Linked DNA regions of Drosophila melanogaster. The protein of the gene in region 2 interacts with the protein of the main gene of each other region in a pairwise test. Each region holds a gene or a part of one and is shown on either strand. Other genes may lie near its edges.

Region 1 (4,662 bases), on a different chromosome or scaffold from region 2:
GATGATCCGCAGCGCAGAAAACCGGACATAACTCGAGCCCGCCAGTTGCTCCATTGGGAGCCAAAGGTTCCCCTAGAGACTGGACTTCAGCGGACCATCTCCTACTTCCGCAACGAATTGGCGCGTAGCGATCGCTTTCAGGAAAGCTCCAACAAGTACTTTGATACACATACACCGTAGAATTAATTGGGCTTAGCTCTAATTGGTGATGATGGAACGTCTCTAGTCTGCAAATGTAAATATGACCATCGTTAGCACTAATTGTAAGCCCTCAAGGACCACAGAATACCTTTGTCATGGTTAATTTTTTGAAGTTTTGCGATATATCAGCCTATGTATGGATTAGGAAATAGTGATGTATAAATGCGATCAAATGCACTGAATTCTAGAAAACTAATTTGAATTTGTTTAGGAAAAGAAAATCCCCAAAGAATACAGAACTTAGGGAGTATGGAAACAACAGTTACAAACGGTTTATTATTCACGGACGACATTGCTATTCTTTTGACCGCATGTGTACCACATAGACACAGAATCACTGGGTTACATGACACTTAGAAACAGTATAATCCATTGTATTGTAGAACCACTATCGTATTTTAAAAGTGCCCACAAATTCATACGTTACATCAGAAGGTTGCGGCATATACATATATCAGAACCAGTGAGAATTGAACAAATTATTGAAGATCTGTGACTCACAACTTTAGACACATAACACCTATATGCGCCTTTAACCAGTGTAAGCACACCCCGATTCTAGAAGATAAGTAGGGTTTTCCAGTTGCTGTAGTTGGTAGTCCATTAAAAGAGATTTTTTCTGCGAACTAATCTTACCCGACAAGTATTTTACTATTTATATACATGGCTTATCCTACGCTTAATCTACTCTAGTATACATCCATATATACCTAAGACTATATTTGCACCTTTGCTTATCAGCTAGATCAACTAGTTTGGGCGCCCGCATAATCCTTTTCACCTGGCCAGCGGCTCGAGCATCTCGAGGAACAGTTTCTTCATGGTAATGACTTCATCGCGTGCAATTCCACGCCAAAATCTTCGCAGGATATCATCCGCCTGCCGCAGCGAAGGCAGCAAAAGCAGCAATTGTTGCTGATGCGACACGGCCGACGAATGACGCAGCAAGTAGACCACATCGTTTAGAGAATTAAGAATCGTATCACGAAATGCGCGCAGGGAACTCTGATCATCCAGCAGAATGTCGCAGTTGGCCAGCAGGAGCGCCTTTAGCAAGTAGTACTCCTCCCTTCGTGGCGATATTCTTTCCATGCGCTGTGCGATCTGGACGCAGTGGTAGTAGAACTCCGTGTAACCGCACTCCTTGGCCAAATGTTCATCCATCCAGACATCCGTGGCGAAGCATAACTTGCCATTGAACGGTAGGGACCGGAAGGTCAGCTGGAGCGTCAGGATCTCTGCCCACGACACCTGGAGAAGCTTCATCTGGTCGTTAAGTGGCAGATCTATAAAGCCAGGTATCTGCTTGGCCCAGCCAATGACGCTGACCAATTCCTTGTCGTAAATATCACTAAGGACGCTTAGTATCTCATTGGGATCATTGTTGTTGTTGTTTTGGAAAATGCAAGTCCCATTGGGCGTAACAACGCTGGACTCCAGTTTTATGCTGCCCGAGGAGGATGAGGCCTCATCATTAGTTATGCTAGTCGTGTGGACTTGCGGCGGCGGCGTTTGGACGCTCAAGGCATCCGGCTCATATGAATTGAGCACCTCCAGTATCTTGACATCGCACAGCGAGGTGGTGTTGGATTGGTATAGCAGCTGCATAGTCTGGTAAGAGTTTGATACAGGATTCCTTCGGTACTTCTGCCGTCCTCCACGAACTCGATCCAAGCGCACACCCTCCTGAAAAGTTAAAGCGATTAGAGTTTAGGAACTTTAACTCGGGACTATGAAATTACCTTGAGCATGCCCATTAGTAGACATTTCTGGAAGCGACACGCTTGGCAGGCCTTGCGTCTCCGCTTGTTAATCTCACACTCGTTGTTCGCCGGACACGTGTACTCGATGTTGCCTTGGATGGTGCGTTTAAAGAACGCTTTGCAAGCCTCACAACTCGCCACACCATAGTGGAATCCACTGGCCACATCGCCACAAACCAAACACAATCGGCGGAGCTCGTCCCTGACGGATCCCGATCCAGCTCCGGCACTCGCATTGGTCGCATTTCCACCACTCGTACCACCACCTCCTCCTCCGCCATTGCCGCCACTTGTACCACTTCCTTTCAGACTATCGCCATCATTGCTTAAGGATACATTGTGCAAATCGCAGGATAGAGAGGTCGTCGAGCTGCAGAGCTGCCTTTCCGGCGAAACCGAGGGCGAGGATTTCAGGCCGTTTGTGCCACTCTGCGTGGCCGTTGACTTGGAGCTGGGACTAAAGCAGGACGCCGATGGAGTGTCCACCTCCTGTTTGATGTGCAAGATGCTGACGCCGTCGGACATGTTCGTGCCTTGGCTGGGTGAGAAAAAAAGAGTTGCGGATAAAATAAGAAATATGTTTCAACAAGTTAAAGCCTTTGATTTGAACTTCAAGAAAATGATTGATTAGATAGAGGACTCGAGATACAAGGTTTAGGATAAACGATATGGTACGATATGAGGATCAACCCAAAATGCGGAGAGAAATGAACAAGTAAAGAGTTGAAATGTGGGAAAAACGTTCAATTTCGCCAAATCACCGCGATAAAGATCGCTTTAGTTTAATGTCAAATAGAACGCGCTGCACAGTGGTAAACATAGAACCCAAAAACGGGTACTTTACAATTCCAACGCTGTTATCTGGACTTATGAATGAGTAGTGCCATTGGAGCCCACAGTGCTGGGCTAGTCGCATGAAACCTGGTCACGGAATTCTTAATGAATGCAAAACGTAATTGTAATTAAGCCGCGCAAAAACCAAAACAAACGGCGGTCCGTCCAGTGCAATTCGAATGCGATCCTCGGATTCACAAGTGAACGTATGCAAGCTCTATAGCTTACCCTTCTCCCGCGTAGAACTTCATCGGTGGTCGTGGAAAAGTACGGGACAGAAATGAACTGAAATCCGAACCGCGCGCCGTGAGTGCGATAACAGCACTGTGCGTGGAGTACCTTCCAGCTGAAGGTACTACAAATCACGACGCACAGTGCTGACATTGATTAGGCAAAAGCGAAGTAAAATAAAATCGAAAAGGGACAGTGGTGGAAGCGAAGCTTTAATACCCTAACAATTGGCAACCAATTGGAATGCCAGCACTCTGACCTCATTATCAGCTAGGCACTGAACACGAGTCTATATTTAGACTAGTCATATACAATATACATAATCTGTCTGCCAGGAAATGGTCATATATCCCTACTATCGTAAAGCTCCTACAATTAGTGTGTTGCTGCACCCAGTCAACTCTGTGTCAGGGTATAAAACGCGCGCTAGCAAAGACAATGGGGGGCAGTAGTGGTGTAGTAAGTAGACGGCGGACGACATCGGCCAGGTTGCAGATGAAAGATAAGCAGCACTAAGCACTCTGCTCTTATCAGCCCAAGGGAAGCCGAAGCCAGAAGATTGTGATTGCGGCCCAAGGTGGGCCTGTCCGCCTCTGTTTACATACTTACATAAAATCGTTCTGAGGATCTTTTGTGTAATCAGCTCCACTGTAACAACGTCAATACATATCGGCCTCCTCGACCGTTAGCATGTAGTACTTGTTTTGGTCCGAGTTGAGCACCTTCTTGTTATTGCTTATGTATTCGTTCCTCAGCATTTTTCGATGCTCGAGTCATAATTGTTTATTCACTGGTCATTATTACTGGACATCGTGGCTTTTGGCGACCATCGGTTATTCAGTTGCACTTTCTATGAGAATGCAGACAGCATCTGCATCGATTTTGTGCGCCTGGATTGGGATTTGGATTTGGCACTCGGGCAAGGCACGAAACGTCACTCTGCGCGGATACGAGTCACATTGTTTGGGGGCTCTTTATTGTGAGCATGCTGTTCTCGCTGGTTTTCGTGCAGATATTTGCATATTGGAAAGATTGAAATGTAATTTTATTTTCTTTTTTGGTGAACCAGACCTGACCAGGGCTGGCAAACACTGAACACCTATCCAGGGATGCAGACTATGCTGGCTCGTGCTCACGATTCGGTGGTTCGCTTTTCGGAACTAAAACACTGCCGCAATTACTTTACAGACTTATTTCATTTTTTAAATAAAACTTATAGTAATGTATATAATCGTTTGCATAATGTTTTACTCTAAAATAACTAACAATGGCATTTAGTTTTATTAGTTTCGTGGTAGATGCTTATCCTGAATGCAAGTGAATGATTTTCAATATGTATGCAGCTCAGGTGCAGACGCAGCCCTTTCCAGCACTGGCGCATGCAACTCTGCTCTCGATTAGCACTCCCTGGTTCGCTCTGCTCTGTTGCTGTCCCACTTGCCTTTGTGTGGGTGCTGGTGTGTGTGCAAAACAGAGCAAAAACAATTGCGCGACAAGAAATCCAAATATCATTAAACATTACGTGGATTCAGTTTAATAAACGCCTTGCAGCCAACCACTAGTCAACAGCGGTGTCCTGCGTATATTGATAGGGCCGAGGCAGAGGTGTTAGCTATACAAATAGGTACAAATA
Region 2 (4,021 bases):
GGGCTACCGATCGCAATGCCGTCGAAATCATACAGTTCCTGGTGCGGAGTGGGGCCAGTGTAAATCAGCGAGATGCGGAGCAACAGACTCCGCTGCACTACGCCGCCAGTTGTGGACACTTGGAGGCGCTCCAATGCCTGTTGGAGCTACACGCCAGCCTGGAGCTACGCGATTCAGATGGACAGACTTGTTACGACGTGGCTGACGATGAGCAGATCTGCCAGGTGCTTCAAACGGAACGGGAACGACTCGCTGGATCCGCGTCCTAATGTCAAAATCTTAAGTTGTTCGGTGCTCATTTGCTTTAAAAACAGCAAGGTGTTGTGAACCATTGTAAATCTCCGACAAGTCCCCTGTAAGTTCTTTGGAACTATAATAAACATACATACATAAATGTAATTTTGGAAGTACTTTCCTTTCGGATTTTTAGGAATCATTGAGATCGAAAAAACATAAAAAAGAAAGAGATGGATAACCTCTCTTTTTTTGTTCTGATCAAGCAGCCAGTTGAAAACACTGCAATGTACTTTTTACAAAGCTGCTACTGTAATCTGATAATCTATTCAATTCTTCAGATATCATTGAACGAAAGTTATCTGTGAAGATCATAATTGGGTTGTGCGTACTGACTAAGGAGTAAATCCAATGACACAATAATGCATTTATGTTACTAACTGATGTATTTATTGAAAATAATATAAGGGTTCTTTTGCAATGGCCGATCAACGCCTACTTCCACAGCTTCTTGATAGACATGTTCTTCTCCGAGTCCTTCTGCATCACCTTGGCCACAGCCATCTCGAAGTCCTCCTGGGTGACATGGACGCGTCGTTCGCGCAGCGCATACATGCCGGCCTCCGTGCAGACGCCCTTGACTTCCGCACCTGATGCGCCTGGCATTAGCTCGGCGATCTTGCGCAGATTAATGCCACGCGTGAGGTTCATCTTACGGGAGTGGATCTTCAAGATGTCCAGACGCGCCTCCTCGTTTGGTGGCGGGAACTCGATCTTGCGATCAATACGGCCGGGACGCAGCAGAGCGGGATCCAGGATGTCAATGCGATTGGTGGCCATGATCACCTTGATGTTCTTGGTGGCCTCAAAGCCGTCCAGCTGGTTAAGTAGCTCCAGCATAGTACGCTGCACCTCGGAATCGCCGCCGGAACCTGACTCAATACGCGACGAGCCAATGGAATCGATTTCGTCCATGAAAATAATTGATGGTGCATGTTCCCGGGCCATTACAAAGAGTTCTCGAACCATGCGCGAACCCTCGCCGATGAATTTCTGGACCAGCTCTGAGCCAGAGACGCGAATGAAGGTGCACTCGGTGTGATGGGCAACGGCCCTGGCCAGCAAAGTCTTTCCTGTACCTGGAGGTCCATAAAGGAGCACTCCCTTCGGCTGGGCAATACCCAAGGCATCAAACAGCTCTGGATGCTTTACGGGCAACTCAATCACCTCCTTGATCTCTTTAATCTGTTTGTCCAGGCCGCCAACCATTTCGTATGTGGAGTCAGGAACTTTTTCAACCATCATAAGCGAGACCAGCGGATCCACCTTATTGGGCAGAATCTTGTGCAGCGTATAGCTCTCATTGCGCAGGGCCACGCGGCAATTGGGGGTTACGTCGTTGATATCTATGTTTTTGTCCAGATCGACGACGAACTTGCCCTCGGGATGCACCTTGACCAGCACTTTCTTCTTGTCCATGGGCTTCACAACCTCGCCCACATAGCTACCCTGTTCCTGGAGCAGCTGCAGCTCCTCCCGCAGCATCCGAACTGCAAAAGACGTGCTAATTAGGATTGCTTTCTCAAATTTAAAGATTTTTTGATATTAAGACCAAGAACAAGTCTTATATGTTTTCTATATCCTACAGCTAACCAACTATGCACATTATCTACATATGTGTAACAGTAAATTTACCTTTAGCATTGAGCTCATTGCGCTGGGCCTGCAGTCGTCTCAAATTCTGGTGCTTCTCGGCCACCACCAGCTGCAGTTCCTCGATCTTTTGGATGTAGTAGGACCGGAATCCCTCGCCTTTATGGTAGGCCGACTCGATTTCCATCTGCGAAAACATGGAGCATTGGTTTTTCGCGGTGGAAGAGCTGGGGGAATCAAATGTACATACCCGATTCGTCACCGTCATCTTTCGTTTTCTGTTTACACTTTAATTTGTTATTATTTGTCGAACTGAAGGACCACAATGCAAGATGTCGAATTAATTCCTCTTTATTGTATGACTCTGCATTTGCTTTTCGAGATGACACATGCCGGTTATCGCACTGCATTCGGAATATCGATGCCATCGAGCAATCGGCATCGATAAAAACGCTAGGTGGTAAAAAACCTAGCTAAGGTTTTCGAATTAAATGTGTCCAGTAAACAATTAAAATTAAATATAACAAAACACGACCTTACTCGTAGGATTATACCCGTCGTAGAGTAAATGGAGTGTACTAGATACGTTGAAAAGTATGTAACAGGTAGAAGGAAGCGTGTCCGACCATATAAAGTTTATATATTCTTGATCAGGATCAATAGCCGAGTCGATTTGGCCCTGTTCGTCTGTCCGTCCGCATAAACTTCAAGATCTTAGGAAGTTTAAAAGCTAGAAGGTTGAGATTAAGCATACAGATTCTGGAGACAGCGCTAGTTTGTTGACCCAAACCACCCAAAACTGCCACGCCCACTTTTTTAAAAAATGTCTTAATATTTTATTTTTATATTAGTCTTGTAAATTTCTTTCGACATGCCAAAACCGATACATTTTTTCAATTTATTTACCAATTTCTAGACAGAAAAATGATGATATTTCTCTGAGTAACGGTTATCTGATAGTCGGGGAACTCGACTATAGGTTTCTCTCTGATTCGTGGTAAAATACATTGTGTTCTCTCTTGTTTTTGCGTAGCACCAGCGATTTTTAAGTAATGAACTTGAATTAGCCTAATACCGCTGCTAATGAAAAAAATGTAATGTATTTCTAATTAATTGTGAATACTTAATGTGACAAATTCTAAGCTTGAAGGTGTTCAATATTATCTATGAAAATTTCAAAACATTGGGCATGTAAATGCGTAGTCTGAAATAGTCATCAAAATGTGCTTTGAGAACAAAGTACTGGTATGTTTTAAGGCAAAATAAGAATATTTTCAAAATCCCCTGCCGAAAATCAAACTTCTCACACTCAAACCATCCGTTTTGTGCGGGAGTGCAGACCCGCCAACCAATTTCTGTCGTTTGTTAAATTTATATTTTAAATTGTAAAATGCCGGCCAGCAAGGGTCTTCTTTTCAAGCGCTACATCCGCATCGAGTTAAATCTGTGGCGGCGGACGCTCTTCGAGATCGTCGCCCTAGTGATAATGGTCCTAGTGATCTTTCTCAACCCCATCGCTCACTCCAAAAGGCTTCTATACACGACCACCGAGAACGAAAACGAGCAGAGCATCGTGTCCCACAAACTGCAGGACATAAATATATTGACGTAAGTGCATAGTATTCACCTACAACCTTTTGAATGTAGCGCCATCCAAAGGCGCAACTTAATGCTCCTACCTATTTATATGGTTTTGTTACCTTCCGCAGACGCATGGCAGACTCGAAGCGGGAGAAAACCAAGTACATCCTGGCCTTCACGCCGGAAACGACGTTTACATCGGAGGTGACCAAGAATGTGGCCAAAACGCTGGAACTGAGCTCAACCGTGGGCTACGAGAGCGAGTCCGAAATGCAAAATCAGTTCGATGAGCGGACTACCCTGGCGGGCATTGTTTTCAATGATCTGCGCGATGACGGCACTCCTTTGACTCTGTCCATCTCGATTCGGTTTCCCAGCGAGTTCCGCACGATCGCTCCGTTCCTCACCGAGGATCGCCTGTGGATAACCCGCTGTTCGGGTCGCATTAATCCCGGACGGGATCGGGCCAAGCACGATAAGCAGCAGGATATATATATTCGCGAGGGGTTTCTGCAGCTGCAGCACCAGATCTTTGTGGAATGGTACCACCAAT

Evidence for each region.
Region 1: the proteins of Rpt6 (region 2) and ERR interact in a two-hybrid assay, tested with the Drosophila melanogaster proteins (2 studies listed by BioGRID).

The regions. Positions count from the first base shown.
Region 1 is NT_037436.4:8,182,541-8,187,202, forward strand, and holds ERR (estrogen-related receptor), read right to left. Parts: upstream 3,131-4,662; 5' UTR 3,050-3,130; coding exon 3,027-3,049; intron 2,682-3,026; exon of another isoform or gene 2,503-2,681; coding exon 1,944-2,502; exon of another isoform or gene 1,888-1,943; coding exon 979-1,887; 3' UTR 821-978; downstream 1-820. Other genes in the region: Uxs (UDP-xylose synthase), read left to right, coding at 1-180.
Region 2 is NC_004354.4:21,314,312-21,318,332, reverse strand, and holds Rpt6 (regulatory particle triple-A ATPase 6), read right to left. Parts: upstream 2,282-4,021; 5' UTR 2,156-2,281; coding exon 2,138-2,155; intron 2,075-2,137; coding exon 1,930-2,074; intron 1,785-1,929; coding exon 730-1,784; 3' UTR 670-729; downstream 1-669. Other genes in the region: anox (anorexia), read left to right, coding at 1-269; CG1801 (uncharacterized protein), read left to right, coding at 3,278-3,495, 3,597-4,021.